4 linked regions of the Tamandua tetradactyla genome follow. The main gene of each other region encodes a partner of the protein of the gene in region 3 in a complex. Links are inferred from orthologs where the notes say so. Each region holds a gene or a part of one and is shown on either strand. Other genes may lie near its edges. The genes, in order: STRN3, STK26, STRIP1 and STK25.

Region 1 (6,973 bases), on a different chromosome or scaffold from region 3:
ATTAACAGTCTAGAAACACTTCAAAACAAAGTTTTGTTTGGCTATATCAGAACTAAAATGCCAACAGTAGGTCACTGAAAGACAACTAGGAAGAAGACAAGCAATAAAAATCTTCCTTAAAGGATTCTTCCATTGTTGCTATTAAGAAAACTGGAAAGGGCTAGGACAGACAACCTAGGTTTCATTAATTTACAAGTTTCATGAACCTGTATGTTTATTAATTAGATACAAGTAAGACATTTTCTTAGCTCCTTTATTAGTGAAGTTTATGAGGGACTAATGTGATTGCTAATCTGCAGAGTGTTAAAATCCAAACTTGCACTCAACAGTACATAGGTTATAAACACTACTATATCAGGAATAGTAGTGCTATTTAGTGAGTTGAAGCCTTGATATATTTGAAAATGCAACTTTTATTTTTAAAAGATAGTAAATAAATAAATAAGTTTGCAGCATGGCATAGTAGAAAGTTTTATATCAAAAGATCTCTACCAAAGTATTTTACAGCAAACTACACATGTTAAAAGAAACAATTCTGATGTAAGCTTTTTGAAAGTTATACTATTCTTCAAAGCCCAATAATGTTTCAAAGCCTGATTTTAAAATACTGAATTGACTAACAGGTGTTGATGTGTAATTTTCTAAGCCTTGAGAGAGTGTCAAAATATATAAATATTCTACTTAAAAAAATTTAACTTCATCCATTTTGTGGAGTCAAGATTTTACTAGATCAAAGTCAAACTGAACTAATTCCATCCCCCTATACTATTATTATCAACATGAAAAAGTTAGAAAGGGCATACCCAAAGATTTTTATAGAGAAGAGGGATCAAAGGCAAAGGAGGAGTTATAACAGAAGACAGAATTTAACAAATTGAGTATGACTGCTAAATCACTATATTGATATTTCTTTTAACCTCCAGTGTTTTGGAGCAGCTGAAAGGAAAAACCTGTAACTGTGCAGTGGTAATCCATATCAAAATATTATATCTGTTCTGTAGCTGCATGTTGGGGTGAGCTTTGAAATTTTTTTTCTTTCTTTCTTTTTTTTTTGCATATGTTACATTTCACAATTTAAAAAAGTTAAAAAAATCAAACTGAAGAGATTTATATTTCTCTGATGACACTTTCAAAGTTAATCCAAACTTCCTTCTTTCAGCACCATGTTTTTCTAACTAGTCATCATAGGTATATATGACATATAGGACAGCAAACAATACTGCTTACATCCTAAATATACACCAGCCTGAAGAACAGGTGCAACACTATTTAGATGCGTGTTTTCTTATAAGCCTAAATTTATCCTGGAAAGGAATTTAAAATAAACCCTTACAAATGCCCCCAAAAGTTCAACAACCCTTTCAAAGGGATGCAGCAATTTTTAAATCCAAGACACGAGCCCTTAAACTACCAACGTTTTCCAAAAGTTAGGTTAAGCATCCTGTCAAAGGTTCACCTTAAAAGAAATGTGTCTGGCTCAATTATGAGTGTGATGAAACTCAAGACAACTAACTTTGTTTCCCCTGAATGAGTCACTAAGGTGAGAAAAGTACATTTGCTTCAAGCAAATATTGTCTATTCTCAGTCGTTTCATAAATACAGCACAGATAGTCCTGTTTCGCTTTAAAAGTAAAGAAAGGGATGCAGGGAATGGGGGCAAGGGGTGAAGGGTATGCTAATTGAAAATTTTACTAGTCTTCTGAGAAGAGTAGTCAAGCACCGGTGAGTCACTATGTAAGGATGAACAGAAAGGGATCCAAGTGATTAAGGCAACATCAGAGGTAAGAAGGTACTTAAAAGTTGGCAGGTAGGAAATGAAAACTTCACAGATCAGCCTCAAGCCATTGTGCTGGGTAGCAGTCCTGGAAAAGAAGCGTGGCTGTCAACCCGCAAGTGCGTACCAAGTAGCGAGAGGGGGCCAGACGAGCCAAATCGGAAGAGGGGGAGGTGAGGGGGTCCGGGAAAAGGTGGTAAAACGCTCATCCCAGTCCCTTTCCTGTGGTTCTCAACCTCAAGAGAGCCAAACGAGAACGAGTGCAGTGCCCAGCAGTCCCACGCCGGACTCTCCCATACAGCGGAGTTCGGTCACAAGCCCCGAAAGCCCGGGAAGGCCGCCGCCGGAGGAGCCCCCGCGGACGCCATACTAAAAACCAAAATGGCTGCCCCAAGGAAGCCTGCACCGCGTAGCTAACGAGGATTGGGGAGCAATCGTCGGTGGGAAAGGGGGAGGGGGACCCCAAGAAAAAGCTGCCGCCAGGACCGCTGCCCGTGCAGCCGCGCAGGTAGGTTCCTCTTGAACTCTCGAAACCGCAGGCTCGGGCTGAGGGGAGTCCCGGCCCCACCCCCCTGCCGGGATCCCCACCGTGGCAGCCGCCCCACAGACCGTACCTGCAGTTCAGCCCGCTCCACCTCCCAGTGCGCCCGCTCCATCTCGAATCGGGCCCATTCGTGCTGGATGTAGTGTAGTATCCCCGGGATTGTATACTGCTGCGGCCGAGACAGCTCGGGGCCCGTCGCAGGGGCCGCTCCTTCGGCGGCCGGAGGACCCCCGCCACTTGATGCTCCATTCCCCCCAGGTCCCTGCTGCTGCCGGGGAGGTGCCGCCAACCCGGGACCGCCACCACTGCCTCCGGCGAGCTCATCCATTGTGTGTGCGGCCCCGGCCGGGGCGCAGACGAGACGTCGATGGCAGGAGGAAGGGCCGGGAAGGGTGGCCTCGCACTGCCGGCGGGGCAGAAGTCGGCCGGGACAGGGGCAGGGAGGGATTCCTTGCGGTGTGCCTGCTGTAGGTCAGAGCAGGGAGCTGCCGGCCGCCGCCATTACGGTCCCTCCTCCATCTGCCCGTCTCACTCACTCACTTTAGGGGAAGGGGGGGCCGCGGCGGGAGGGGAAGGAGGGGGCAGGGTTGGGAAGGGGCTAGACGTAAGGCCGTCGCTCCGCGCTGCATGCCGGGTAGAGAACGCCGCAGCTGCCGCACGCCTAATAGCCAAATAGAAGCCGGCCTCGCCCTACGCAGGCGCACTGGGGAAGCATTCAGGGCCGCCGCTAAGAGGCGGGGAAAGGGCACGGGCCCCGCCCCCAGGCCCGCCCCCAAGGAGCTCCGCGTGTTTGGCGGCCGGCGTCAGTCCTTGGTCTGGGAGTTCAGCTCTTCCGAGCGAGTCTACCTCCCTTATCCCGGTTGTCAGTTTCTCTGTTGCAGGCCGCCCCCAGACGTGGTTCCCCACCCAGGGCCCTCGATCGCCTGGCTGCGGTCGAAGCTGGGTTTTAACCGGGTTGGTCGCTCTGGCCTGCTGCGAAGCGTCCGGGATTCCTGACGTTGCTTTTGCATTCCTTGCATGTTTCTGGCAGTCCCACAGGGTCGGGCGTCTTTCCTTGCCTGTCACTCGCTCTTTCTATAGTTGCCTAGCTTCCGGTCGTTTCCCGGGGCTTTGGGGACTTTCTCTTTTTGGCTAGTGGCCCAGATCCTTCCGGACATGGTGACTGTAATCTCCGACTTCGCCGGAGCCCGGACTTGGGTTCATTTCTGTGCGTTTGTTCGCCGGTCGCTTGTTCCGTTTCCTCACCTCTTCTCAACTATTCTGGGAAAGGGGATTGTGTTGGGGAGACTTGGGAGGGGAGCAGGAGCGATTGTTGGCATTTTCGTTTCTTTTTCTTGGGAGGAGAGGGGGTGGCAATGGAATCCTTTAGATCTTGGTGATGAGTAGAGGGAGGAAGATAATTTTCGAGGAGACTGCTTACACTAATAATTTGAAGGGAATAATTTTAGAAGCAAATGAGGTCCTCAGATATTGCCATTCATGGCAAAATATTTATTTTTATTTTTTTAACATAACAGCATACAAACCCGAACATTCTTATCATATGATCATTCCATTCTTGGTGTACAAACGATAACTCACGATATCATCGCATAGTTGTATATTCATCATCATGGTCATTTCTTAGAACATTTGCATCAATTCAGAAAAAGAAATAAAAAGAAAACAAAAAAATTCATACATATCATACCCCTTACCCCTCCCTTTCATTGATCGCTAGCATTTCAATCTACAAAATTTATTTTAACATTTGTTCCCCCTCTTATTTATTTATTTTTAATCCATATGTTTTACTAGTCTGTTGATAAGGTAGATAAAAGGAGCATCAGACATCAGGTTTTCACAATCACACAGTCATATTACAAAAGCTTTATCATTATACAATGATCTTCAAGAAATATGGCTACTGGAACACAACTCTACATTTTTAGGCACTTCCCTCCAACCGCTCCATTACACCTTAACTAAAAAGGTGATATCTATTTAAGGGGTAAGAATATCCTCCAGGATAACCTCTTGACTCTGTTTGGAATCTCTCAGCCATTGACACTTTATTTTGTTTCATTTCACTCTTCTCTCTTTTGGTTGAGAAGGTTTTCTCAATCCCTTGATGCTGAGTCCCAGCTCATTCTAGGATTTCTGTCCCACGTTGCCAGGAAGGTCCACACCCCTGGGAGTCATGTCCCTCATAGAGGGGGGAGGGCAGTGAGTTTTCTTGTCATGTTGACTGAGAGAGGCCACATCGGAGCAACAAAAGAGGTTCTCTTGGCGGTGACCCTTAGGCCAAATTTTAAGTAGGCTTAGCCTATCCTTTGCAGGGTTAAGTTTCATATGAACAAACCCCAAGATTGAGGGCTCCACCTATTACTTTGGTTGTCACCACTGCTTGAGAGAATACCAGGTATTCTCCACATGGGAAAGTTGAATTTTCCCCCTTTCTCACCATTCCCCCAAGGGGACTTCATGGCAAAATATTTTGATGAAGTAGCAACTAAGGCAGCGTGAACACAACTTAAAATCCTAGATGAAAGGGTAAAAGTATTTTCCCAGGTCACCAAAGGTTTGAGTGAATATAATATAGATATAAAAGACAAGGTTAATTTTTAAAATTTATTTTACAAACCCTATTCCCACCAAGCAAAAACTTGCTTCCAACCCACTATAGCCATCAGTCTACTAAGGTTAATTTTCTTTAAGTAGTGCACATTTATGGCTTAGCGCCCCAGGGAGCATCCTAATGAACTAATGAGTTAAAAAAAGTGATAATCATTCGATTGAAAAATATGACAAAAAACATTTACTGTAATAAAGAGATTTAGAAATTAAAGCTATACTGGGAAGTGGCATAGGAAGTTGGTTTTGTTTTTAAGAATTTTTTTCTTTATTACAAAAGCCAATAAAATTTTCACTATGGAATATACACTTCCATTTAGGATCTAATTTCAAAGAGATAAAAATATATCTTATTTTATCTTGTTGATAAATCTTGTCAGTTTACTGTTCTAACATTTTAATGGAGAGCCATCTTGAACTTGTTCCCCATGTTATTTTATTTACGCATGAAATATGGTCTTAGATCACAGTACTATTAAGTTTCTTCCTATATATATGAAGAATATATATACATGTATGTTAGTTGCAAGTTCGGTCACAACTAACATTCACCCATTTATTAAATCCTATTAACTTTTGGGAGAGTCTCATAGCATAAAAAAGTTCAGAAGACCCATATACACTTAAGAAGTTCAGATGTAAGTTCAGAAATTAGACCCATATACACTTAAGAAACATTTTTTGAGATAGTGTAGTTCACCTCCCTGATGGTAGCATCAAAAGAAGAGGAAAAATGTGCATTTGTGTTTCCCTGATACCTCAAGCTCACTTTAGAATTTCTGTCTTTTCTTCCTCACCTACCCTCAAAAAAAATCTGAAAGCTCTGCTCCTCTTCTATTACCTATCTTATTAGGTGGCACTAGATCCAAACCTGAGGCCTGGAAGTCTTCTAGTGCCTTTCACTTAGCCCCTACATCTGATCTCTTTTAACATCCTTTATGTCTACTCCATTATCTCCATCCATGCCTTAGTTTAAACCTTTCCACCTCTACTCTCCCCTCAGCTCCCACTACCACAGCTGCCTAAAAAGCAAACTGGACCCTGTCGTTCCCCTGCTTAAATTGTTTAAGTGATCTCCAAGGCTTTTAGGTTAAAGCCCCAAATTTTAGCTAAGCATTTAAAATATGGTCCTTCAAGTATTAAATTCTCACTATAGCCTAAACTACCATCACTCCATCACACCCACCCCACAGCACTTTTCTCTTCAGCCAAATCGCACTGCTTTGGGTTCCTCAAATGCATAAGGCCTATTCCTTCACAGTGACTAAACACAGGCCATACCCCATTGCCTTTCTTTCCTGTCTTCCTTGAAAACTCAGGTCAAGCATTACTTCCTCCAGGAAGTTTTAAAGATCCCTAAATTATTTAGAGACTGTTGAGGATTGAATCTTGTCTTGCTCAAGAGGACTGTTCAGATCCCAGCCGCTTTTCCTGTGGATGTGAACCCATTTGTAAATAAGACCTTTGAAGATATTAGTTAAGTTGGACCCAACTTGAATGAGGGTAGACCTTAATCCAATAGGGCTGAAGTCCTTAGAAACAAAAGAAATTGGACTCGGAAAGGAAAGCAATGGAGAGCAGTGAGAAGCCGGAAGTCAATAAAATCTGGAAAGGAAAGGAGAAGATGCTGTCATAAGCATTGTCATGTGACAGAAAACCAAAGATTGTCAGCCAACAAAAAGATTTTGACCCAGGAAAGAGGCCTCTGAAACTGCTAGCTAATAAATTCCTGTTGTTAAGCCACTCTACTGCCCTTCTGGTTCTCAACTGTACCTTCAGTATCTGGTACATTGATTCTTAAATGACTGATGAATAACTTAAGTTTATATTAATATGAATATTTTTCCTTGATCTTAATCATTTTTATTAGTTGTGCCAGCTACCTCTTAAAGTCGATGAGCGAATGCTCTGGGTATTAAAAGTTAAGAACACCAAGGTTTTCTCCTCTGCTGGGAGAATGTTTTGTAGATTCTTGATGTTGAGTTTTATGCCCATGACTCATGAGGACATGCTACAGTGAGCGCCTAGAATCTTGTCCTCTG
Region 2 (7,398 bases), on a different chromosome or scaffold from region 3:
TTCATGTTAAGAGCATGAACTGCAGAGCTAGACTACTTAGGTTCAAATCTTAGTTTTGTCTACATACTAGCTCTATGATCTCTAGTAAGGGATTTAGCTACTCTGTGCCTCAGTTCCATCACCTGTCAAATAGGGATACTAAAAGTACATAACTTAAGTTGATGTAAGGGCCTAACTATGTGTTACCCTTTCTTTAGGCTTTTATTGAAGTATGGCACACATACAGAAAGCTGCACAAAGTCATAAGTGTAGAATAGCTCATTTTTCACAAAGTTAAAACATTCATGTATCCATCCACCAGATCAAGAAAGAGAACATTACCTGCTTGCCAGAAGTCATCTGATGCTCTCATTCAATCACTGCCTTCTCCAGCCCAAAGGTTTCCACTTCCCTATCTTCAGACATCATAGATTCATATTGCCTAACTTTGAACTTTAAATGAGGATCTGCATAAACTGTTTAGAATAGTGTCTGGCATGCAGTAAACTCCAAATAAGCCTGGTAATGTGATTTTAACAATAACAAAAAAATAATAAAATAAGAAGTCAATTTGTGAGGTAAAGCTTATGGCAATAAAGTTAAAGGTAACCTGCCTATTTAAAAAAAAATGATGAGTTCTTGAAAACATTTTGCTTCCATAAGTTAAATCTACTCTGTATTCCATACTAAGAAAACTACATTCCGTTTGAGACATCAGAAAAAAACATATGCCCAAGCATTTCAGCATGATCCAGAATTTTATTCAAAGTTTGCTTAAAAAAAAAAAAAGAAAAATTAACAGATGAAAAACAAGTTTGGCTGAAACTTCTCTAGGCCTCAGTCTCCTCATTGTAAAATGAAGAGAATTGGATCATCTCTAAGATTCTTACCAGCGCTGACATTTAATGATTCTATGAAAACATTTCTTACAAAGTAAAATCTGGAATTTTCTGAAGCTTTATTTTATAGCTAAATAATAAATCTAGAGTCACAGTTAAACATGACCTTTCAGAGGAAAAACAGCAGGGATTCTGTGAGGGAATAGCATGTCTAGTGCTCTTTAGGAGAGTAAATAACATATGGGCAAGGAAGAACCAGGGGATGGAATATATAGAGACTTTTTCAAAAGTCTTTGGCAAGCTTCCATGCTGTTGACTTTGGTTGTTGTTGCTTAATGAGTCCCTATGAGATTTGGGGAAACAATTTGTCATAGAAGGAGCGCTAACTCACAGAAGGAAATGAAGGATAGGAATGTGTGGGTGCTTCTCTGGATGGAGAAGTGTCAGTATTAAGGTTTCCATGATCCCAGGCTTAGATAACTGTTACAAGTGGTGTGAAAGAAGGTCTACACAGTGGTAAGAGCTACTAAGCTCTTCTCAGTAGTGAAATGCCAAACTGACGTAAGGACAAATGGCAAGAAAGTCTCTCAAAACTGGAAAAGAACAATAGAACATCTCCGCAAGGTAATGCATCCACAGAAAAAATATATACAAACTATACATGTTTGATAATAATCTCTGTTGCTCCCAAAAGGGAAGCTAGGAGTTGTAAGTTATTTCTGGAACAATTTCACCTCACTGTGCCATTTTTGGCCAGAAAGGCCAACAAAATGCTGTGCATGATTAGAAAACAGACTAGAAACAATATAACACATTATTCTATTTTGGGGGAAAAAAATTAAATCCTGGTGCAGCCACATCTGGAATACAACACTTAATTCAGGAAGCCACAAATCAGCAAAGCCAAAATGGAACTAAAGGTGGTGTAATGATGGGCCCTGAGAATGTGTGAATGAGAAGGTGCTAGACTGAGCCACATTCAAGGTGTTAAGATTCTTTTAACACAATACGATGAAGATAGAGGCAACAGCCAGAGTTACTACTGCTGCTACTTACCACTTATTTAGTGTGCACTCTGGGTCTGTTACAGGACCAAGTGCTTTTTGTGTATCAAATCCTGTAATACCTGTGAACCCCTATGAGATAGGTCCCCACTATTAGCCTTATTTTAAAAGTATCCTGAAGGGTATGGACAGAGTAAATAGCAACCAAAGCTATTAACTGGCTAGAACTCAGCACAGACCTTAAAACTCAAGAGTCAAATCCAAGGCAATCAACAGGAAGTGAGACTTTATATAGTGGACAGTAAAACCTGTGGAACTCACCACCTTCAAGCAGCAGTACAAATTAAGCTGTAAAGAGCACCAAGAAAGATTTAGGCTACATTTGCAAAAGATAAAACCAAGATAACCTGCTAAGAGAATCTTGCTAAGTGTCTTAAACTTTTTCTTTTTTCAATTTGCATGGGCAGGCACCTGGAATCAAACCCAGGTCTCCGGCAGGGCAGGTGAGAACTCTGCCTGCCGAGCCACCGTGGCCCGCTCTAAGTGTCTTAACTTTTGAGGTTGTCATTAAGGAGAACAACCACACCCTCTCCGCTCCCATTGCCAACATGATTCCGAGTCCCCCTCTAAAAATTCTTGGCTGCCTGGACCAGAAATTTGGTCCAGCGTGGCTTTTCCTTTTTAATTATGACAAAAATAGGGGAATGGTATTTGAATTCCTTGTGGGTAATTCAAGATGGTTGCAATTTGTACTATACTTGAATCCCTTTTAATGATAGCCTAAATTACACAGAATCCTATTTAAAGTGCTGTGCTCTTTAGAAACGAATTTTTTTTTACGAGTGACTTGTGGAAGAATGGATTGCCACAAAGATAGCAGGTAGAGGAATTCCCCTACAGCATCCATCATCTGGTCAAGCATTTACTTGCAGTTAGTTCATGTACATCTTTCTTAAAGAAGTTACATTTCGGAGAGAATACATTTTCATGCACAGAAAATTAGTTTAAAAGAGAATCCCTGTATAAAACCCGAAACTTGGACACCTCCCATGAAAACTTACATAGCAGCTTCTCTGTCACATCAGTCCTCACGAGACCTAAGGATGGATTCATCCAGTGTTGCTCAGAGCTTCTTCTGTCTTGTCGGTGTGACGCTGCTGGTTTACACAAAATGCACCGGTACCCACCCTTGGCTGGATGACCTGTACCTTAATTGAAACACTGTATGTGTTCTGGGCATGCCACAGAAAAGAAACAGAGAAGGAAAGAAAGGCTAGGAGTGAACATCTAGTTCACAGAGAACTAGCCTTATCTGTGGGGAGGAAGTATGTAAAAAAACAAAAAAATACTCGAGAGCCAAGAAACGGGAAGGGGAAAGGGATAAATGGAAAGATATGATCTTTCCTTAGATACATTAAGAATTCTTTAAAAAGGGAGATAAGACTAAATGTGGGTTTAAACAGTCACATGGGTAATTGGGTCATGAGTAAATCGGTGAAGTTGGCCACTTGTTTGAACATCACTACTTTTCATGACAGAGGTTCTGCTTTCTCCTCACACCCCCACTCCAATCTGTTTCCTCTCATTGCTGAAAGCCCATCTCTGCAACTAGGCATGAATCTGGTACTCCCCCAGGCCCTGATTCTGGGCCATTCTCACCTCCTTTGATCAAAATGTATCTGTGTTCTGCCCATTTTGATACCTTGGCCTGAGAACATTGCCATTTTAATAGGGAATAAGTTAATACTTACTCAATATGGCCCTCTACTCCTAGTTGTAAGTGGAGATATTTTGGGAGCAGAGATCTTCTCACACCCTCAAATAAGTTTAGGTAAAAAGCCAGCAGAATTTGCCTCAGCCAAGTGACCAGTTTCAGTTTCCTCACCTGTAAAATGGAGGAAATAATACATTTAATTTCCATCACTGTATATTCACACATCCTCACACCCATCCTCTTAAATAAGGATTATTACTCCCACTTTACAGACAAGGGAACTGAAGCTCAATGAAGTGAAATAGCATAGTCCAGGATATTATGTGAAAGAACTAGTGTATGAGGAGAGGAGTCTACTAGCTAAGATAGGAAGTTGACATGCAGTTAAAAAAGCTCCTAGGACATGGTGCCTGACATAGGAGCCACGTGGCTGTGTGGAGGCAATATGGAATCCAGGCTGTGAGTATGGACTTGGAGTACCAGAAACCTAGGTATGAATCCTGGCTCTGCCCCTTATTTCCTGGCATTCGTTGGGCAACTCACCTTCTCCAAGTTTACATTTACTTATTTGGAAGATGGGCATGATAATGCCTCTCTTATAGAGCTGTCGTTCGGATTAGCTAACACAGTGAGTGTAATGTGCTTAGTACAATGTGGAGCACGTGCGAAACAGGCAAAAATGTGGAAGCTACTGGAATGATTATTAGTAGTAATACTTTGCACACATGTTAGCCTAGAACATGGTGTTTGCTGGGCAGAAGGTAGCGTTAGCTACCAGTCTACTAGTTATCTACTAGTTGCTAGACTGTAGGCAACCAGAGGCAAACATAGTTAATGCAAGTTAAAAAAGAGAAGGCTGAATGCTCTTCAGACAGCACCACTGAAGGCTATCCAGGGCTAGGCTGCACGTTCCTTAGAATAGTGTTTCTCAAACTTAAAGGGTATATCAGCATCACCTGGAGGGAAGTTAAAAGACGGAGGGCTGGCCCGACTTCTAAAGTTTCCAATTCAGTAGATCTGGGGCAGGCTCAAAGTACTTGCATTTCTAACAAGTTCCTGGGTAAATACTGATGCTGCTGGTATGGGGACCCCACTTTAAGAATCACTGCCTTAGGAAAAAGAATCCCAGATCTTTAATTCCTGCCCAGTTCTAGGCATCAGAGTTTCCTTGCTTTAGTTTTCTCTTTCTTTCTTAGTAAAAGTCTACTTGAAAAATGCCAACCCTGTTTTGAGAGAACAGAGGGATTTGTCCATAACTGAGCCAGGAGATTAGGGGTAGGGTGGTGGTAGCCATTGCTCCAGCTACAAGGCTTGAGGAGAGGCCCCAGAGCAGAACAAATATCAAAACTGAGATGGAAAGACTTGGAGATAGCTGTGATTACTGAGCCTTTTCCAGCTTGGATTTTCCCTCAAGCAAGAGTTTTCTTGCTTGAGCTTTTTATCCCTTTACAACACTATCACTATATCTTGGGGGAGGGAGGAAGGAGTTACTACATTTTCTTTCTGCACTTTTCATACTCCCCTTTTCACTCTCTGCCAGCCACAAGGCCAACACGAACCTCTTGGAGAGCCCAGAGCAGCGTGAACAGATTACGGAAACCTGAGCAAAACCCCGAATGAAATTAGATGTCTTTCTTGAAGTAAAATATGTGCTCCATGCTCTTCGTGATGTTACAGCAAATTCGAAAACCAAGGGCTGGATTCCAAGTCACCACCTGGCAGCTGTCAGTGAACTAAGCCTCCGCTACCTGTTAAACACAGTTAATGAAGCAGTCTGTGTTTACGAATTAGGGGATTTGTCTTTGAAAATAGTGACCCAATAGAATGAGAAAAGATAGATAGCCTTGGGTTTAGATTTCTGGATTAGAAATCATCTGTCTCATGAATTTTAAGGGATAAAAGAACATGTGGTCTAACTTATTAATGAAAATGTATATTGATACTGCAAATGCTAGGAAATGGAAACACCAATATGGATAAGAATGGATATTTCTTAGGTTCTCGAGCCAGAGATACTTTGGCTTATGAGTTCTAGAGACGGTGTCTGGGCCTGTTCAGTGCCATTAGGCTATTAGGTACCTGTACCAACCTGCCCACACTACATGAAAACACGCCTCCTTAACGCTTTCAGAATTTATGGCTTCTGTCCCAAACCATTCACCCCAGCTCATTTCATACCCGATTTCCTAATTCTTCCTCAGTCTGTTCTAATTTCTGACCTCCTCACTCATTTTTCCTCTCACTGTCTTGCCTCACTCACCCTGGGGCCTGGCACGTGGTATTACTTCTCCAACTTGAACCCTTTGTAGCCTTCTTTGGCCAATAATCAGGTTCGCCCACTTGGCTACACTGTTGTCGGCTGCCATGGGTCAACCTGGTCCCCGGAACCTAACACCATCATACAAACCCTCATGGGAAGTGGCCCTCCCTGGCACACCCAGTCCTAGGAGCAGAACTCAGACTTGAGAGCTTTATGACTCCTTGATACTGCTGTCCGAAAGAACAACCCCCCCCCCAAAAAAAAAAAGCAAAGGAAGGAATTTGATTGCCCAATCACTATACACAGAAGAGCCAACTGAACTTTTATATTGTCTAAAGTATAGTATACATAACTATATACTGTTAATAGTTCTTCTCAGATTTGAAATTTTGTTCATTTCTTCCTCTCCTTCATATCTATCTCCTCTCAGCAGCCCACCCCTCTGATTGATTGTCAAGATTTATGATTTCTACCTCCATAATGTCACTTGAACCCATCATTCTCTTGCCTGAGCTGTTTGCAATTGTATCCTAATAACTGGTCTCTCTATAGCTAGTGTCTCTTCTTTCCCCACCTTACTCCCCCATGCCCCTTATCCCCTGCCAAGCCATTCTCCATATAGCTGCCAGAACAATCTTTCTAAAACATGGATATGTTCATGTTATTACTCCCTATCTTAGTATTTTTCATTCCCAGGTATGCATCAGATTATTTTAAATATGATTTTGGTTTTTAAGAAGAGACACTTCTAATTATAGCAATAATAATGATCTGCTACTTTAGAGTGCTTTAGAGTACTTTATTGTGCTTTAAAGTGTTTTCACAGCTATTAGTAATACATTAGAATGATTCACATATTATTATCTCTATATTCAAGCAGAGATGGTATCTTTTATTTATACTGAAGTATACAGAATGAGTAGTAGATATTAAAAATCAAATATATTGATCTAATTGGCTATGTAGTTGATAAATTAGGTACTCCTAAAGGAAATTCAGATTCACACTCAATTTCTTAATTCTTCATTTCCAGAGAATGAATTTGCTAAGTATTATTCTGATGCTGATCTATCTCAGTTGTTTAGAGCATGCAATTACTGAGGTCAGGGTTGGTAGTTGAACTCCCATTTGTTTAAGTTGGCCTCATTTGATTTCATGTATATCGCCTGTAACCCTAACTTCAGACAGCCATCTCACAGTTGCAGATCCCAACTGAGCTGTATAAGAGATTACATGAAATTACAGAAATTACCATGACTCCATCCCTATTACTTGAAAACTCAAATATCATAGTAGCTCTGTAGCATTATGTTAGCAGTTAGACAAATGTTTAGCAACAATTATCTAAACAAAGAGACAGCTTGACTCTCTAATGTGGTCCTTTGAGAACCCTGAAGAATTCTTCATAAGTATCTCATTCCTAATCATACAATTCCAGTCTAATAGTATTAAGCTCCATCTCAACTGATGATATAGGTAACAATTACTAATGTAAATTTACATGTGTCCTGTAATATTTCCACATAGTAATTTCTATATTCTCAAATGAATAAGGAAATGTTGTACATATAATACTACCTTTCGCATTCATGGAGATGTGGT
Region 3 (7,185 bases):
CAGAGGCTTCAAAAAAGTGAAGGACAATCTAAAGTCATGAGATACTCAAGGCTTGAACCAAATAATATTTTTAATACACATCACTAATTGGATTGAGAAAAAAATTAATTTCAAAACAATATTCATATTCTTAAAGATCAATAAGAAAAAAAACACACTTCCCTCATCCCCAAAACAACACAATGATCTATGCTTTACCAGAGAGCTCTGCAGCCCACTTGTCTGTGTCAGCATACTCAAACTCGAGGTCTGGTGACTCGGAATAGCCCTGTTGAGATACAAGAGAGCCTATGCAAAAGAACATTCAAAAAGTTTTCCAAAGGAAAAAACAAACATGCTTCCAGACTCACCATTGTGTTACAGGATATCACTGCCCCACTTTTTTGTTGTTTTATCACAATATTTTGTCTCCTGGGCCAGCTCAGTTTTCCCTATTAAATCCTCTCTGAATATCTTATACTTTTCCTTCAGAGCACTTAACATAACTTCGAATTATATATTGGCATTTATATTTGTGTAGTATCTATCTTTCCACGAAACTGCAAGTTCCTTGAAAATAGGAATGTTATCCAATTTGCTCACCGATGATTTCAGAATGCCCAGCACAGTACCTGGCATGAATGAGTGAATGAACAGTTTAAGCTCAAATACTTGTTGAATGAATGAATACAATGCTTCTCTGTATTTTGTGTAGTGAATGACCAAGCCAGATGGTGCGAAGATTCCAGAAGCCTCATTTCTTTCTAGCTAGTGGACTATTAACTGCTCAAGACAAAGTGGGTATTGAAAGCCCTTCAGCTTTCCTGCCCCTCTCTCAAATTTCAATGAGAACTGAAGGACTGGAGAAGGCAGCAGTGGCAGAGAACGGCTTCCCTCCCACACATGGGACAACGCGACAAAGATAATATTTTTACTGCTGGGGCAGATGATTACTGAGAACACACTCTTTGTTCTTGTATTGGGGCGAAAGAGGAAGCGAAGCAATAGGTTATGTTTTAGTCTGAATCGTAATCTACTTGAGAAGACAAAGACCATCCATGGTATGCTATGAGAGCAGACCCACAAACACAGGGCAACTAAAAGAACTTTACTTATTTGGCCCATTCAGAGGCAACACAGTGTACACTTTTACAAACCAAGCTTCGGTTTCCTAACACATGGAATGGGGAGGACAAAAATCTACCTTGTTGATTTTAAGGAGTAATCAAAATTATGTAGCACACAGTGGGCTCTCATCAAGTGTCAGCCTCCCTGCCCTCCAAGCATTCACTCTGCTCAGGCTCCCAGTCTATTGATTTCAACTATGACTAAAGAAAGAGCAGAGAGCAGCAGCAGCAGCATCTACTAAGAAAATGAACTTAGACTTCTCTCAATTTAAACGAATCCATTTGACTGCCCTTCCCTGCGCTAATTAAAGGGCATAAAGGGAAATTAAAATGCATTAACTATTATTCATAAGTACTTAAAATGTAAAACTCTTTTTAAACTATATCTTCTCTCAAAATGAAGGTGGGTTCACCCCTATCATTTTCATAACCCTCCTTACTTCAAAGGGTAGTAAGAACTCACCACTGGAGGAAAAAATAATAACAATAAAGGAAGAATTCACCATTGTTGTCCCATCACCCCATCATGTTATTTAGGGCTCCTGAAAAGTTGACTTCATTCCTTTTATCAAATAATTCACTTCAAGCTCAGGGCACATAAACTTTATAGTTGCCATATTTTGACATGTTTTACAATGTGTGTTGGGCTTGCCAACAAACAAACAAACAAACAAAAAACAAAATAAAAGTTTGAGAAGAACTGATTTCACAGGTGTAAAGACAGTATCACTGGGTGGTATGACCCAGTACATTCTTGACAAAAAGGAATTCCTTCCCAGTAAGTGCATGACTGATGATCAACCAGCCTTGGAGTTATCTCAGGTGAAGGAGACTCATAGTAAGTGTTCTGGAAACGTGCTAATTAAGAAACCCTAAAATTCTGCGATGTATGTGTCTTCATTCATGAATTCCACAAAAGGAAGCAGTGGGAGGAATTCTTTAACTTGGGGAGAGGTGAATAGTCAGCTCCAGAACGGAAGAACAGCCCTCTAGCAAGAGAGAAGGGGATGTTGAGCTCTAACACATGTTTAAAATGTGCATTTCGGATTTTTAATATTTCAGCTTTAGGCACACGGGACATAGCAACCACCAAACACCAGCACAGCATCAGAGGGAACCGGGCGATTCTCCCCTCCTACCCTCGCAACCTCTGGGCGCACAGTATCATTAATGATAATTAGCTCCGTCCGGCTTCAAAGTGCCTTCTAAACCCTCGCCAGTTCCTCCTCTGCCCACACATGCCGTCCACAGCGCGCTGCGGGAGCCACAAGCCCGAGCCCGCGAGCCCGGGGCCGAGGCCAGAGGCTCAGAGATTAGGGGGTTTGGGGTCCAGCCGCCCCGGCCCCCGGGAGCGCACGCAGACCAATGACTCTTCCCACCGCACTGGGCCAGAGGGCGGCTTTCCCAGCGGTTGTGGCCCCGAGGCCGCCCCCACAGTTCCGGTCCCAGAGGAGCACACGAGCCGTCACCCAGCTCCGGACAGTCCTCCGGGGCGGCGGGGCTCCGGGCGGGGACCCCGACTTCACACCCCTGGCCCGGGAGACACCAGTCTTGCTTCCCGCCCCTCTCGCTTTAAAATGACAGCTCCCAGGCCCGGCCGTGCCGACTCCCTCTAGGAAGCCCAGTGTGGACCCTGTGAAGGGATCCACTTCGGATCCCCGCCGCCGCGCGCCCAGTGCCCACCTCGCCCCCCTGATATCCTGACCTCCGAGTCTTTGCGTTGGTTGCGGTTGAACTCTCGGGCTTTGCCCCCGGGCAGAAGGCTCCCGCCGGCTCGCGGTGCCCCGGGTGGAGGTTGAGCGGATGCCGGCGGCGGCGGTGGCGGCGGCTGAGGCTGCTTGTTGTTCACGATGAGCGGGCTCGGGCCGCCAGCTGCCGGCTCCATCTTGGTTGCTCCACACCCCCGGCTCAATTCTCCGAGTCGCCGTGATGCAACTCTCGCGTGATTTCTGTCAGGGAATCTCCCTGGTCGCCATATTAAGTGTGGCAGCGTGTGCTGGAAGCCATCTTGGCTGCTCAATAAGCTCCCGTGATTGCCTGTGTCTGAAATGTTTGTACTTCTTCCCTTTTCTCCAATTTTAGTTTCCGCTCTCTTTCCAGTCCCGATAGTTTGGATGACATTTTATCTGTGAGGACTTCCTTAGAAATTTCAATTTAGTTGTCGCCTCCTTCACTCAATGGTACTTTGCACTTGTCACTGTTACAGCCCTGTTAAAGACATTGCGGATATAGCCGCCGTAGACAAGCTGGACAAGCTTCTAGTCTTCACGGAATGTACATTTACATGGGGGAGACAGCCACTAAACAAATTAATAAAAATTTTGAAAGTACTAATCATTCATTCGGCAAATATTTAATGAACACCTCCTATGCTCCAGGCAGTCGAATAGAATGGGCAACATGTCAAGTTCCTCAACACATAGTATATTCATAATGTCTAAAAGGGTAGGACAAACAACAAGTACATACATAATTAGAGACATACGTGCTGTGGAGAAACAAAGAAGCGTAAGGGATTAGAAAGTGATGGGGGGTGAGGGCAGAGGTTTGACTATTTTCGGTTGCTTGGACAAGGCAGGCAGGCATAAGGAGGCCAATTTTGTTGAGTCCTGAAAGGAGTGAGGGAGAGAGCCATGCAAAGATGGGTGGAGGTGACACTGGCAGAATGACCAGCTAAGTGCAGAGCCCTGAGGTCTTTGCAGCTAAAATTGAGCCAGCCAGGGGAAACCTGGCTGAGGGATGAGTGCATCAGCCATGAATGGGAAAGCTGCGTGTACAGGGCACCACGGTATCCAAACGTACCTGCACTCGTTTCTATTTCTGTGTAACAAATTATCCTAAAACCTAAAGGTTTAAAACAAAAAACATTTATTATATCAGTTTCTGTGGGTGGTGAACCTGGAGATGACTTAGCTGGAAGCCACTGGCTCAATTCTGATGATGTTCCAGGGCTGCTGGCTCATCCCAAGGCTTGACTTGGGGTGAGGAAGGAGGTGATGGGACAGATTCAAATGATATATAAGGTTAAATGATAGGGGTTGCAGCATATTCATTTTCATATCATGTAGTGGTATTTTCATATTGTTCATTTATTTTTTTATTAGAGAAAAGTGGTGGGTTTTCAGAAAAATCATGCATAAAGTACAGGGTTCCACAAGTCACCTTATTATTAACATCTTTCATTAGTGTGATACATTTGTTACAACTGATAAGAGCCCAATTTTATAATTGTACTATTAACTATAGTCCATGGTTTGATTTTGAGAAGAAAATTAGAAAAGCAAAAGAGCTTGTTTACTGGATAATAGCAAACCCACAGCTCAGACAGGAAAAAGCCGCAAGTGCTGGTTTGCTACCCACCGTATGTGAGAGAAAGACAGTTCCCTCCTCATTAAATCTCCCCATTAAACTTGAGCTAAAGCAGGCTTTGCTTAAAAAACAAAAACACATGCACAAAAACAAGACTCAAACCTATCCCCTCAGTTGACAAATTTGCATGAAAGCAAGCAGCAAGTCAATGCTTTTCAGAGGGGTCTGTTCAGCTGACCTGGAGAGCAGTGTGCTACCTCAAATTTATCCAGACTCCTCATCTGCTCCCGGACTAGAAAACACTTCTCAGTTGCCCTTCAGAAGTAATTTTCCCAGATAGATATACAAAGGCAAGAGAATCATTGAAGAGAATGGGCCTTTTGTTTTTCATGCACTGAAATAATAGAATCAATAATGAAGATGAGTCATTTTGTGATTTAAGAGCAACCAAGTCAAGAGCCCAAGAGCCCAAGGGCTTATCAGTGGACTACTGGTGCCCTAAGTGTGGATATTTTTGACCCAGTTTGGCTCTGGCTTCTGGAAGCAGAGCTCAGTTTCTGCAGGTTATCAATGTCTGCGTTCAGGAAGAGTTAGGAAAGGCTTGGGACCTGCGGTTTGAGTTTTGGATGCCTGTGGCAAGTTTCTGATGCTGAGAGAAACTTTGCTAAGGTATGAGAAGTGTGCCTGAAATGAGAAGCTGCCTAGAAGGCCAAAGGGAGGCAGGTCAGTGGAGGGACAGGGATGGGATCTGGGAGCCAGAAAGACTATGGGTCAAATCCTGGCTCTACTTCATCAACTGTGATGTGACTCTGAAGAGATATTTGATTTTCAGAATCTTTGTCTCCTTATGGCCCTGAGAGTTAGTTTTAGTAGGCCTGGGATAGGGTCCAGGAATGTGTATTTTTAACAAGCTTCACGTTACCTTGGTATGCGTACCAAAACCTTGTTTGCCACAAGTTGAACTGAACTGGGGCTGTTTCTTAACAGTGGTATTGCTTAGTGTCAAGAGCATTGATTCTGAGGCCAGACCCCCTGGGTTAATTCCAGTTCCAGCAACTTAAAATTGCAAGTCTAAATCACTCGGTTACAACGAATAAAAGGTATTTGCAAAGTCTCCTTGTGGGAATGGTGAGAAAGGGGGAAAATTCAACTTCCCCATTTGGAGAATTCCTGATACTCTTGCAAGCAGTGGGAACAACCAAATCAATAGGGCGAGCCTTCAGTCTTGGGGTTTGTTTATATGAAACGTATCCCCGCAAAGGAAAGACTAAGCCTACTTAAAATTAGGCATAAGATTCCCCCTCTGTACGTGGGACATGACTTCCAGTGGTGTAAACCTCCCTGGCAACATGGGATAGGTATCCTAGAATGAACTGGGACTCAGCATCAAGGGATTGAGAAAAACTTCTCCACTGAAAGGAGTAAGAGAGATGAGAAAAAATTAAATGTCAGTGGCTGCGAGTTTCAAATAGAGTTGAGAGGTTATCTTGGAGGTTATTCTTACGCATTATACAGATATCCCCTTTTTAGTTTAAGGTGTATTAGAGAGGCTAGAGGGAAATGCCTGAAACTGTAGAGCTTTGTTCCAGTAGCCATGTTTCTTTAAGATGATTGTATGATATAGCTTTCGCAAGTGACTGTGTAATTGTGAAAACCTTGTTCTGATGCTCCTTTTATCTATAGTATGGATAGATGAGTAAAAAATATGGATTAAAAATAAATATGTAATAGGGGGAAAAATTAGGCCTAAGAATCACCCCCAGAAAACCTTTTTTGTTGCTCAGATGTGGCCTATCTCTCTCAGCCAATGCAGCAAGCAAACTCACTGCCCTCCCCTTCTCGATGTGGGACATGCCCCCCAGGGGTGTAAACCTCCTTGGCAACATGGGACAGAAATCCAAGAATAAGCTGGAACTCAGCATCAAGTGGCTGAGAAAACCGTCTCCACCGAAAGGGGGAAGAGAGAAATCAGACAAAAGAAAGTGTCAGTGGCTGAGAGGTTTCAAACAGAGTTGAGAGGTTATTCTGGAGGTTATTCTTACACATTTTATAGATATCCCCTTTTTAGTTTAAGGTGTATTAGAGAGGTTAGAGGGAAGTGCCTGAAACTGTAGAGCTATGTCCTAGTAGCCATGTTTCTTGACGATGTATAATGACATAGCTTTTGCAATGCGACTGTTGACTGTGAAAACCTTGTATCTGATGCTCCTTTTGTCTATGATATGGACAGATGAATAAATACGGATTAAAAATAAACAATAGGGGGAACAAAAGTTAAAATCTATTGAGTAGATGGAAATACTAGTGGTCAATGAGAGGGAGGGGTACAGGGTATGGTACGTGTGAGTTTTTTCTTTTTATTTCTTTTTCTGGAGTGATGCAAATGTTCTAAAAAATGATGACAGTAATGAATATACTATTATGTGATGATATTGTGAGCCACTGACTGTACACCATACATGGAATGTTTGTATGTTAAGAATGTTCATGTTTGTATGTTGTTTTGGTTTGATAATACAAAATAAATTAAATTAAAAAAATCACTCAGTAACTCAGTACCACAATTTTAAATAGAAATCACAAACTATTTCCCATGTAATTTATAGAGATGTTTTATCAGTTTGCTGAGATTTTTTAATCCCAAAGTGAATCTGGGCTGGGATGCAGATGTCTTTAGCATCTGCTACCTTTGAGCAAGTTGCTCAACTGCATCATCTCAACTTCTCCATCTGTAAGAGGATGTAAAAAACCTTATCTATGGGGTTACTGT
Region 4 (7,527 bases), on a different chromosome or scaffold from region 3:
CCAACTTCTCACTCAGGGACTCACGGCAGCTATTTCTGAAGCTCTTGAAAATAAACCGGGGGCAGATATTTCTCTCAGCATCTTAATCATATAGTCATCACACATAAAATGTCAAAAAAGAACCCAATAAAGGATGATATCGTCCATATTTTAAGACTTCAACTTCTGTGTGAGACTAAAGGAAGAGATTTTTATTTGGTGCAAAATTTATATTTTGGGTAGTGCATTTCCTAACTTAACTTGTATGGTAAGTTTAGCTGAACACCATAAGTACATAGAATCTTGAACAGGGCATAAGATTGTGTTGGTTTGTCCAGGTTAATGCGATGCTCTGATAAATACCAGAGAGATTTGGACAGTGAATAAATATTTGCAAAGTCCCGTTGGGGGAATGGGGAGAAAGGGGGAAATATTCAACTTCACCATTTGGAGAACTTCTGATATTCTCACAAGCAATGGGGACAACCAAATCAACAGGCCAAGCCCTCAATCTTGGGGTTTGCCCCTACTAAACCTATTCCTGCAAAGGATAGGCTAAGCCTGCTTAAAATTAGGCCTAATAATCACCCCCAAAGAACCTCTTTTGTTGCTCAAATATGGCCTCGCTCTCTAAGACCATACAGCAAGCGATTTACATCCAGCGGTGTAAATCTCCCTGGGAAATCCCAGGATGAGACAGGACCGGCATCGAGGGATTGAGAAAGCCTTCTTGATCACAAGGGGGAAGAGAGAAATGAGACAAAATAGTGTCAGTGGCTGAGAGATTTCAAACAGAACTGAGAAGTTAACCTGGAGGTTATTATTATGCATTATATAGACATCCCTTTTTAGTTTATGGTGTATTGGAGTGGCTATCAGGAAGTACCTGAAACTGTGGAGCTGTGTTCCAGTAGCCTTGTTTCTTCAAGATGATTGTATAATGATATAGCTTTTACAATGTGACTTGTGACTGATTGTGAAAACCTTGTGTCTAATGCTCCTTTTATCTAGGGTACAGAAAGATGAGTAAAAAACATGGATAAAAATAAACAAATAATAAGGTGAACAAAGGTTAAAGTAAATTGGGTTGATGGAAATGCTAGTTGTCAATGAGAAGGAGGGGTAAGTGGTATGGTATATATGAACTTTTTCCTTTCAATTTCTTTTTCTGGAGTGATGCAAATGTTCTAGAAAATATTCATGGTGATGGATACACACAGTGATGCAAATGTTCTAAAATATGATCATGGTGATGAATACACAACTATGTGATGATATCGTGAGTCACTGATTGTACACCATTTATGGAATGTTTGTATGTTTGTATGTCAAGTTTTGTCAATAAAAAATATTAAAATAAATAAAAGAACCTAAAGCCTGGAGGCTTCATTCCGCACCCATCAGCAAACCCAATCCCCTGTGACCCCAGCTGGTTCACAAAAGCCTGCCCAGCAGTCAAGCAGCCGGTTCCCAGCGTTCCCAGACAGCTCCCACCTCCTGCAAGGGCCCTGAGCCTGGAACTGAACTGCACTCCCGCCTCTGCCTCCCATACAGAAGCTCCTGTGGGCGCCCCTGCACCCCTGATGGAGCACTCACGCTGGTGGGATCACGCTCCATTCTCTAAGGGCTGATTCCAATACCCGCCAACAGTCTAAGGCTGCCCCAAGCTCGCATTTACGAACAAAACCAAATGGCTAGATGAAGAGAAACGTGGCAACCAGAAGGGTCCATTCTACTTCACCATCACCTTTAAATCACACCTTTCTTTCAAAGAACAAAAAAATTGGGGGGGGGGGGGGAGCGAGGGAAGGGCGGGTCCAGTGGAAAGCTCCCACCGCGGGACCGGCAGAACCGTTCTCTGAAAACTGCACGGCCCACCTGAGTCCGCAGGTCCTGTCGGGAATCACCTAACGTCTGCAACTGCACACTGCGGTCAGGAGAACCATTAACCAAAGATGAATGCCAGATGTGATCTTCCAGGTGCCCTCCCAACGCCACGGGAATACACCGCACCTTCTGCCTTCCCTAGGCGTGGAGAGGGCCGAGTGAACTCCCCGGCCACATTTCCGAACTCCTTAGCCCGCGGGGATCAGGGTTCTCCCCATGCCTGTCCAGAAGTGCCGGAGCCCAGGCCCGGAGCGCCCCTAACCTTCAAATCTTCCACTCCCGGGTGAAATATAAATTCCTTAGTACAACCAACAACGCGCACCATCTCGATCCGCACCGTTCCTCGTACTCGGCAGCCAAGGCTCTTGTCTCAGGGGGTTCACACCCACATACAACCCAGAAACTTGCTCCTTACCTGGTTGGCAAATCCCCTGAGGTGAGCCATATCCCCCGCGGCGTCACACCATTCGCCTGCAACCCGAGGAGGCCTCCAGATGGCCGTCTGGATGCTCAGGAACCCGGCTCGCTCGCGAGGTTCGCTTCAGTCCACTGTGGCGGGGACAGCAGGCCTGCTCGGGCTTCCCTGGGGTCCCCGTGGCCGGGCCGCGCCCCACAGCCCCACCCGGCCGTCTCCACTCCCCTCCTGCAGACAGTGCCTGCCTCCGCGCCCCCGGCCGGTCCTGCCGAACGCCAAAGCACCCTCCGAGAGCCTCGCCGGCCGCGCACCCCCGGCTGCACGGGCTTCTCCCGCACCGCATCCCCCGGCCCGCCTCACTGCAGGGTCCTCCCTGGGCCCTGCCCGCCCCCGGTACCCGCCCCCCGACTCTCCTCCCACCACGGAGCCAGCCCGGCGGCCTCCCTCCGCCCCGCCCCGCTGCTCCGGGCCCCCCACCCTGTGTTCGGCCCCCTCCCCAACCGCCAGGGGAAGCCCTCGGGGCGGCGCGCCCACCTCCGGGGGGCTCCATCCCGGGCTCCCCCGGCCCGTTCCGCAGCGCCCGCGAAAGCCCCCACCCGCAGCCTCGGTCCGCCTGGGGAAGCCCGGGCCTCTCAGCCCCGAAATAAAGGTAGTTGCGGCGGCGCCGGAGAATGGCCGGCGGCGGGGAGAGATACGCGCGGCGTCGTGGCCCGGCCGCAGTGCTCTCTGGGACACCCAGTTCCACAGCGCGCCCTGCGGCGGGGCGCCGCGGACGGTGGACTACAAGCCCCAGCAGGAGCCGGGGCGGGCGGGTCCGGGAAGGGGTCGTGCGCGAAGGCACGCCCGCGAGGCTCGCTGGGACTTGGAGTCCCTCTTCCTAAGAAGCTCCGGACTCCGTCTCCCGGCAGGCCGCAGGGCAGGCGGCGGCGTCAGGACGGCGGGGGCGTCTCAGCCGGGCCCTCCACCCGCGTCCTGACTGGCGTTTGTCGTTCGCAGGCGCCGTCTGGGCTTCGCCTTGGTAAGCCACGACGGACCCTTCCCGAGCGCAGAGCCAGCCACGCCCTCGTCCCGTCCCCGGTCCCGCCCTGCTGCCCTCCCCGGGCGCCCGCGCCCTGCTAGTTCGCCTCGGGATCCCGATTCCCGCCCGGCCCTCAGCGAGAACCTCTTCCCAGGACGGCCTCAGTATCCTCCCACAACCGGGTTCGCGGCCGCGGCTCCCTCAGACCGCTGAGAGGCCATCCAGTGTGATCGCTTCCCTCTCCTGCCTTGGTTTCTCCATCTTGGTTTCCCTCCAGGACCCACCTGATGGCGCGGGGACACCTGCGGACAAAGCCCGTCGCTGAGGGGCGCTCATGGTCTCATGGGCTGTTGGCGCCCCCAGCTGACGCACCCCTGGCCCTGGACGGTGACCCGCCCTGTCCAGGGGCTCAGGAAGATCTGCGGAAGGGAGGACAGAGTGCGCTTCCCAGACAGGTCGCAGGGCCAGCGGCTGGACGGCCCCAGGGTGCGGACGTCAGGGCAGCCACCACCACTGCCCGCGAAGCCTTGGAGGCCCGCGCCGTGCCCCTGGCAGCGCCTTCCTAGTGCACCCTTGTCCTGTGGAAAAGGCTTGTTTCTTCTGCCTTGGGTGGGCCCTCCAAGACCATCTGGACACCCCGTGCTCCTGCTGTCCCTCAGAACGGAGCTGGTCCTCCTGAGTTACTTCAGTCTCCTAAGTACAGGGGCTTCCTGGCTGTGCATGGAAGGCCCCCTGCGCACCTGTGTGCAGGTCACTCGTGGCCACCTGATCTTTCACGGGTTGTGTTATTTACCGTCAGCTAAGCACTGGCAAGCAGGCTGTGCCTACATCCTCCCCACACAGGGCAGGCATGCAGTGAAAGTTGTGGAGTGAATGTGTGAGTGCAGGAAAGTAATATGTATGAATAACTCCTCTTAGATCCATCAGAGAATTGAGGGCACAGGGCAAACTACCCGAAAAACTGGAGAGAGAGGCAGAAATGTCTCAGCTTATCAAGGGCAGGAACTGCAGCAGAGCCACCCTCAGCAGGACAGCTTACAGGGTAGTTGACTACTTCAGGCCAATGAAGATGGATTAGCATGAGAAAGAAAATTTCCAGGGGGTCCCAGGGAGACCCCTACACTTTCTTGAAGTCTGTCTCTAGGGGTACCACCAAATTACTGCTGTGAAGATGAGAGAAAAAAATCTCCTCATGCTTCCAGCACAAGGGGAAGGGACCATTGTGAATAGTGTCCTTGTTCCCTTATAAATAAATGTCTGTCCCCCGGGGAAACTCTCTTACCAGCACCTCGCCAACACAGGTCTTACCAGAGTTGGACAACCCCCAGAGGGAAATAACCAACTCCAGCCTCATCTAACCTTCTGCAAGCAGGGAAGGAAGGACCCAGAGCTAGTCCACTTTAGCCTTCCTGCTTCACCTAAGGGGTCAAAACAAAACAAAAAATACAGATGAAAAATACTGGGTCACAACCTAGGGTCACAGGCTCACTAAAAGACCAAGACTAACTGTAGGACTCTTCTTGTCCCACATCAGTAGGGCTCCTAGATAAGAACAGGGATTATAGCTGAAAAGAACTCCAGAGTTCTGGCCCTATTTAAGGAGAAATCTCCAAGGAAATACAGAGACATAAACAAGGACCCTAGAGGAAATTTTAGCCTTTGACATCACAGCTACAGCAAACAATAAACACAACCTATCTTCTAGCTTGATACATTTAAAATCCTCAGTTAAAGGCCTATTCACCTCTGTTCCTATTGCCTCATACATCATGTCCAACTTTCAATAAAAAACTACGAGTCATGCCAAAAGGCCAAAAACACAGTCTAAAGAAGCAGAACAAGCATCAAATGAGACTCAAACATGGCAGAGATTTTGGAATAAAGTGGAAATTTAAACTATAATTTATGTGCAGAAAACTCTAGTGGAAAAAAGTGAATGATATGCAAGAACAGATGAGTAATGTAAGCAGAAAGATGCAAACTCTAAAAAAAGAAAATCAAATGCTAGAGAACCGCACTCTGATCAAAATGGCAGAATGAGAAGCTACAGGGCTCTGTGTCCACTACAGGAGATTTGAACAACCAGCAAGAACTGCCCAAAGCAGCTTTCTCAAAACTCCAGAAAACAGTTAAAGGACTGCACTAAAAGAGCAAACACCAAATCAAGAAAAGGGGATCTTAAAACCAGTAGAATCTCGTGGTACCCTGGCTGTCCTCTCTCCACCCTCCCTAGCATGGCCCTGGCCCATGCTCCCACTGTGGATCCCTGGTCTTCGCTCTGGAGGGAGCTGAGTCACCCTTGTGCACATGCTGGGAGCAGGGGGGTCTGGCCCAGTCTCACTGGTGGTGGCCTGAGGGACTCGCTGTCCCAGAACCTGCCCTGTGTGTAGAAGGTGGGTCACAGAGTTCTCCTACAGGGCTGTGGGGACCAGGCCAGTGGCTGCCTGGGGCAGGGGACTGCTCGCTGAACAACACACAGTGCAGGGCCAGGGACTGTGAGGAAACTGTTCCTTAAAGAAGAGGGGACATTCTCAGCCATTTAAACAGAGGGACTCCTAGGGCCATTCACACATGCCTGTGACCTGTGCATATGCTGAAAGGATCAGGGAGGTCCCTACACTTTGGCCTCAAACTATTCTCTAAACTCATTATCTAGGTAAGCTCTGAAAGAGAGCACTCAAGCAAGTCAGTCTGCAAAGACTGGGAAAGGTATTTTCTTTAATTTCTTCCATTTTTTTTTGTTTGTTTATTTTTTGTTTCTTATATTTTGGTTAGCTCCTGGCATTCAAGGAAAGCTCGGATCCAACACTACCTGGATACAAGCTTAAAGAATAGTTGCCTCAGAAAGTAAATTCCAGCAGTAACACACTAAAACATGAAAATGTCCAGGTTTCAACAAAACATTCAAAGAAACAGGAAGCAATGTCCCAGGCAAAGGAGAAGATTAAAGTGCTGGAGACCAACAATGAGGAGGACCAGACCTGGTACATACCAGACGAAGACTTAAAAAAAAAAAAAAGAAAAAAAGTTCTAGTGAGAAGCGGCTGCAAAACCGAGCACAGGAGGCAGGAAGCCTAGTGCAAGCAGTAGTTGGGCACCATGGCGGGGATCACCACCATCGAGGAATTGAAGTGCAAGATCTACGTTCTATAGCAGCAGGTCAGTGATGCTGAGGAGAGAGCCGAGCACCTCCAGCGGGAAGTGGAGGGAGGAAGGGAGGCCGGGGAACAGGCTGTGGCTGAAGTGGCCTCCTTGAACTGAAGGATCCAACTGGTTGAAGAAGAGCTAGACTGCTGAGCGCCTGGCCACTACCCTGCAAAAGCTGGGGAAGCAGAGAAAACTGCTGAGGAGTACGAGAGAAGTATGAAGGTTATTGAAAACTGGGCTTTAAAAGATGGAACTCCAGGAAATTCAACTCAAAGAAGCTAAGCACATCACAGAAGAGGCAGATCGGAAGTACGAGGAGGTGGCTCGTAAGTTGCTGATTATTGAAGAGGATTTGGAACGCACTGAGTAAGGAGCTGAGCTGGCAGAGTCCCGTTGCCAAGACATGAATGAGCAGATCGGCCTGATGGACCAGAACCTGAAATGTCTGAGTGCTGCTGAAGAAAAGTACTCTCAAGAAGAAGACAAATATGAAGAAGAGATAAAGATTCTTACTGATAAACTTAAGGAGGTAGAGCGAGTTTGCTGAGAGATCAGTAGCCAAGCTGGAAAAGACAATTAATGATTTGGAAGATAAACTGAAAACCACCGAAGAGGAGCATCTCTGTACACAGAGAATGCTGGACCAGACTCTGCTTGACCTGAATGAGATGTAGAACACCCCAGTACCACACTGCTGCTGCTCCTCCCTTTGACCCTGACTCCACCTGAGGCCAGCCTGCCCGAAGCTGATCTTTAAACTGAGAGGTGATCTTTCACTGGAAGACTGCTTTCTCCTCTCACTGTCCACCGCCACACCCATTCACCTACCCACTCTGGCCCCGTGTCTTTTTCACCAAACTGTCCCTGCCTCTCTTCCAGAGACTGCAGCTGAGCAAGGGCTGAGCAACTTTGGGAACAACATTTAAGGGAATGGGAGCACAATGCAAATGTCTTTAAAAGCATGTTGGGATGTATATGTATTGTAATTGCCCTTTTTGTTGTTGTAGCAACTGTTTGTAAGACATTCCAAATAATTCCATAGCTCTGAAGCAGTAATCTAATCCCTGTCTCAGTTTTAGAA

Evidence for each region.
Region 1: the proteins of STRIP1 (region 3) and STRN3 are in contact, whole or in part, in a cryo-EM structure (PDB 7K36), measured with the Homo sapiens proteins. The link is inferred for Tamandua tetradactyla from reciprocal best matches to the Homo sapiens genes STRIP1 and STRN3. Residues at the interface, in NP_149079.2 of Homo sapiens: Arg441, Ile445, Tyr447, Leu449, Thr455, Val456, Val457, Gly458, Leu459, Arg491, Ser492, Pro493, Leu494, Ser495, Phe792, Leu793, Pro794, Val795, Asn797, Cys798, Leu799, Val802; in NP_001077362.1 of Homo sapiens: Thr64, Pro66, Gly67, Leu69, His70, Tyr71, Gln73, His74, Val88, Glu89, Ala91, Glu92, Ala95, Arg96, Phe99, Leu100, Glu103, Gly106, Gln107, Leu110, Asp113, Leu114.
Region 2: STRIP1 (region 3) and STK26 share a complex: the UniProt entries of both Homo sapiens proteins name them as parts of the core of STRIPAK complex. The link is inferred for Tamandua tetradactyla from reciprocal best matches to the Homo sapiens genes STRIP1 and STK26.
Region 4: STRIP1 (region 3) and STK25 share a complex: the UniProt entries of both Homo sapiens proteins name them as parts of the core of STRIPAK complex. The link is inferred for Tamandua tetradactyla from reciprocal best matches to the Homo sapiens genes STRIP1 and STK25.

What each region holds. Positions count from the first base shown.
Region 1 is NC_135340.1:23,298,133-23,305,105, reverse strand, and holds the start of STRN3 (striatin-3), read right to left. Parts: upstream 3,012-6,973; 5' UTR 2,647-3,011; coding exon 2,389-2,646; intron 2,283-2,388; exon of another isoform or gene 1,923-2,282; intron 1,782-1,922; exon of another isoform or gene 1,659-1,781; intron 1-1,658. UniProt on the Homo sapiens protein: Calmodulin-binding scaffolding protein which is the center of the striatin-interacting phosphatase and kinase (STRIPAK) complexes.
Region 2 is NC_135353.1:30,555,809-30,563,206, forward strand, and holds the start of STK26 (serine/threonine-protein kinase 26), read right to left. Parts: upstream 3,007-7,398; 5' UTR 2,886-3,006; coding exon 2,884-2,885; intron 1-2,883. UniProt on the Homo sapiens protein: Serine/threonine-protein kinase that acts as a mediator of cell growth. Modulates apoptosis. In association with STK24 negatively regulates Golgi reorientation in polarized cell migration upon RHO activation.
Region 3 is NC_135337.1:12,888,863-12,896,047, forward strand, and holds the start of STRIP1 (striatin-interacting protein 1), read right to left. Parts: upstream 3,001-7,185; 5' UTR 2,992-3,000; coding exon 2,812-2,991; intron 269-2,811; coding exon 199-268; intron 1-198. UniProt on the Homo sapiens protein: Plays a role in the regulation of cell morphology and cytoskeletal organization. Required in the cortical actin filament dynamics and cell shape. Part of the striatin-interacting phosphatase and kinase (STRIPAK) complexes.
Region 4 is NC_135329.1:80,165,944-80,173,470, forward strand, and holds the start of STK25 (serine/threonine-protein kinase 25), read right to left. Parts: upstream 3,008-7,527; 5' UTR 2,816-3,007; intron 2,436-2,815; 5' UTR 2,312-2,435; coding exon 2,282-2,311; intron 1-2,281. UniProt on the Homo sapiens protein: Oxidant stress-activated serine/threonine kinase that may play a role in the response to environmental stress.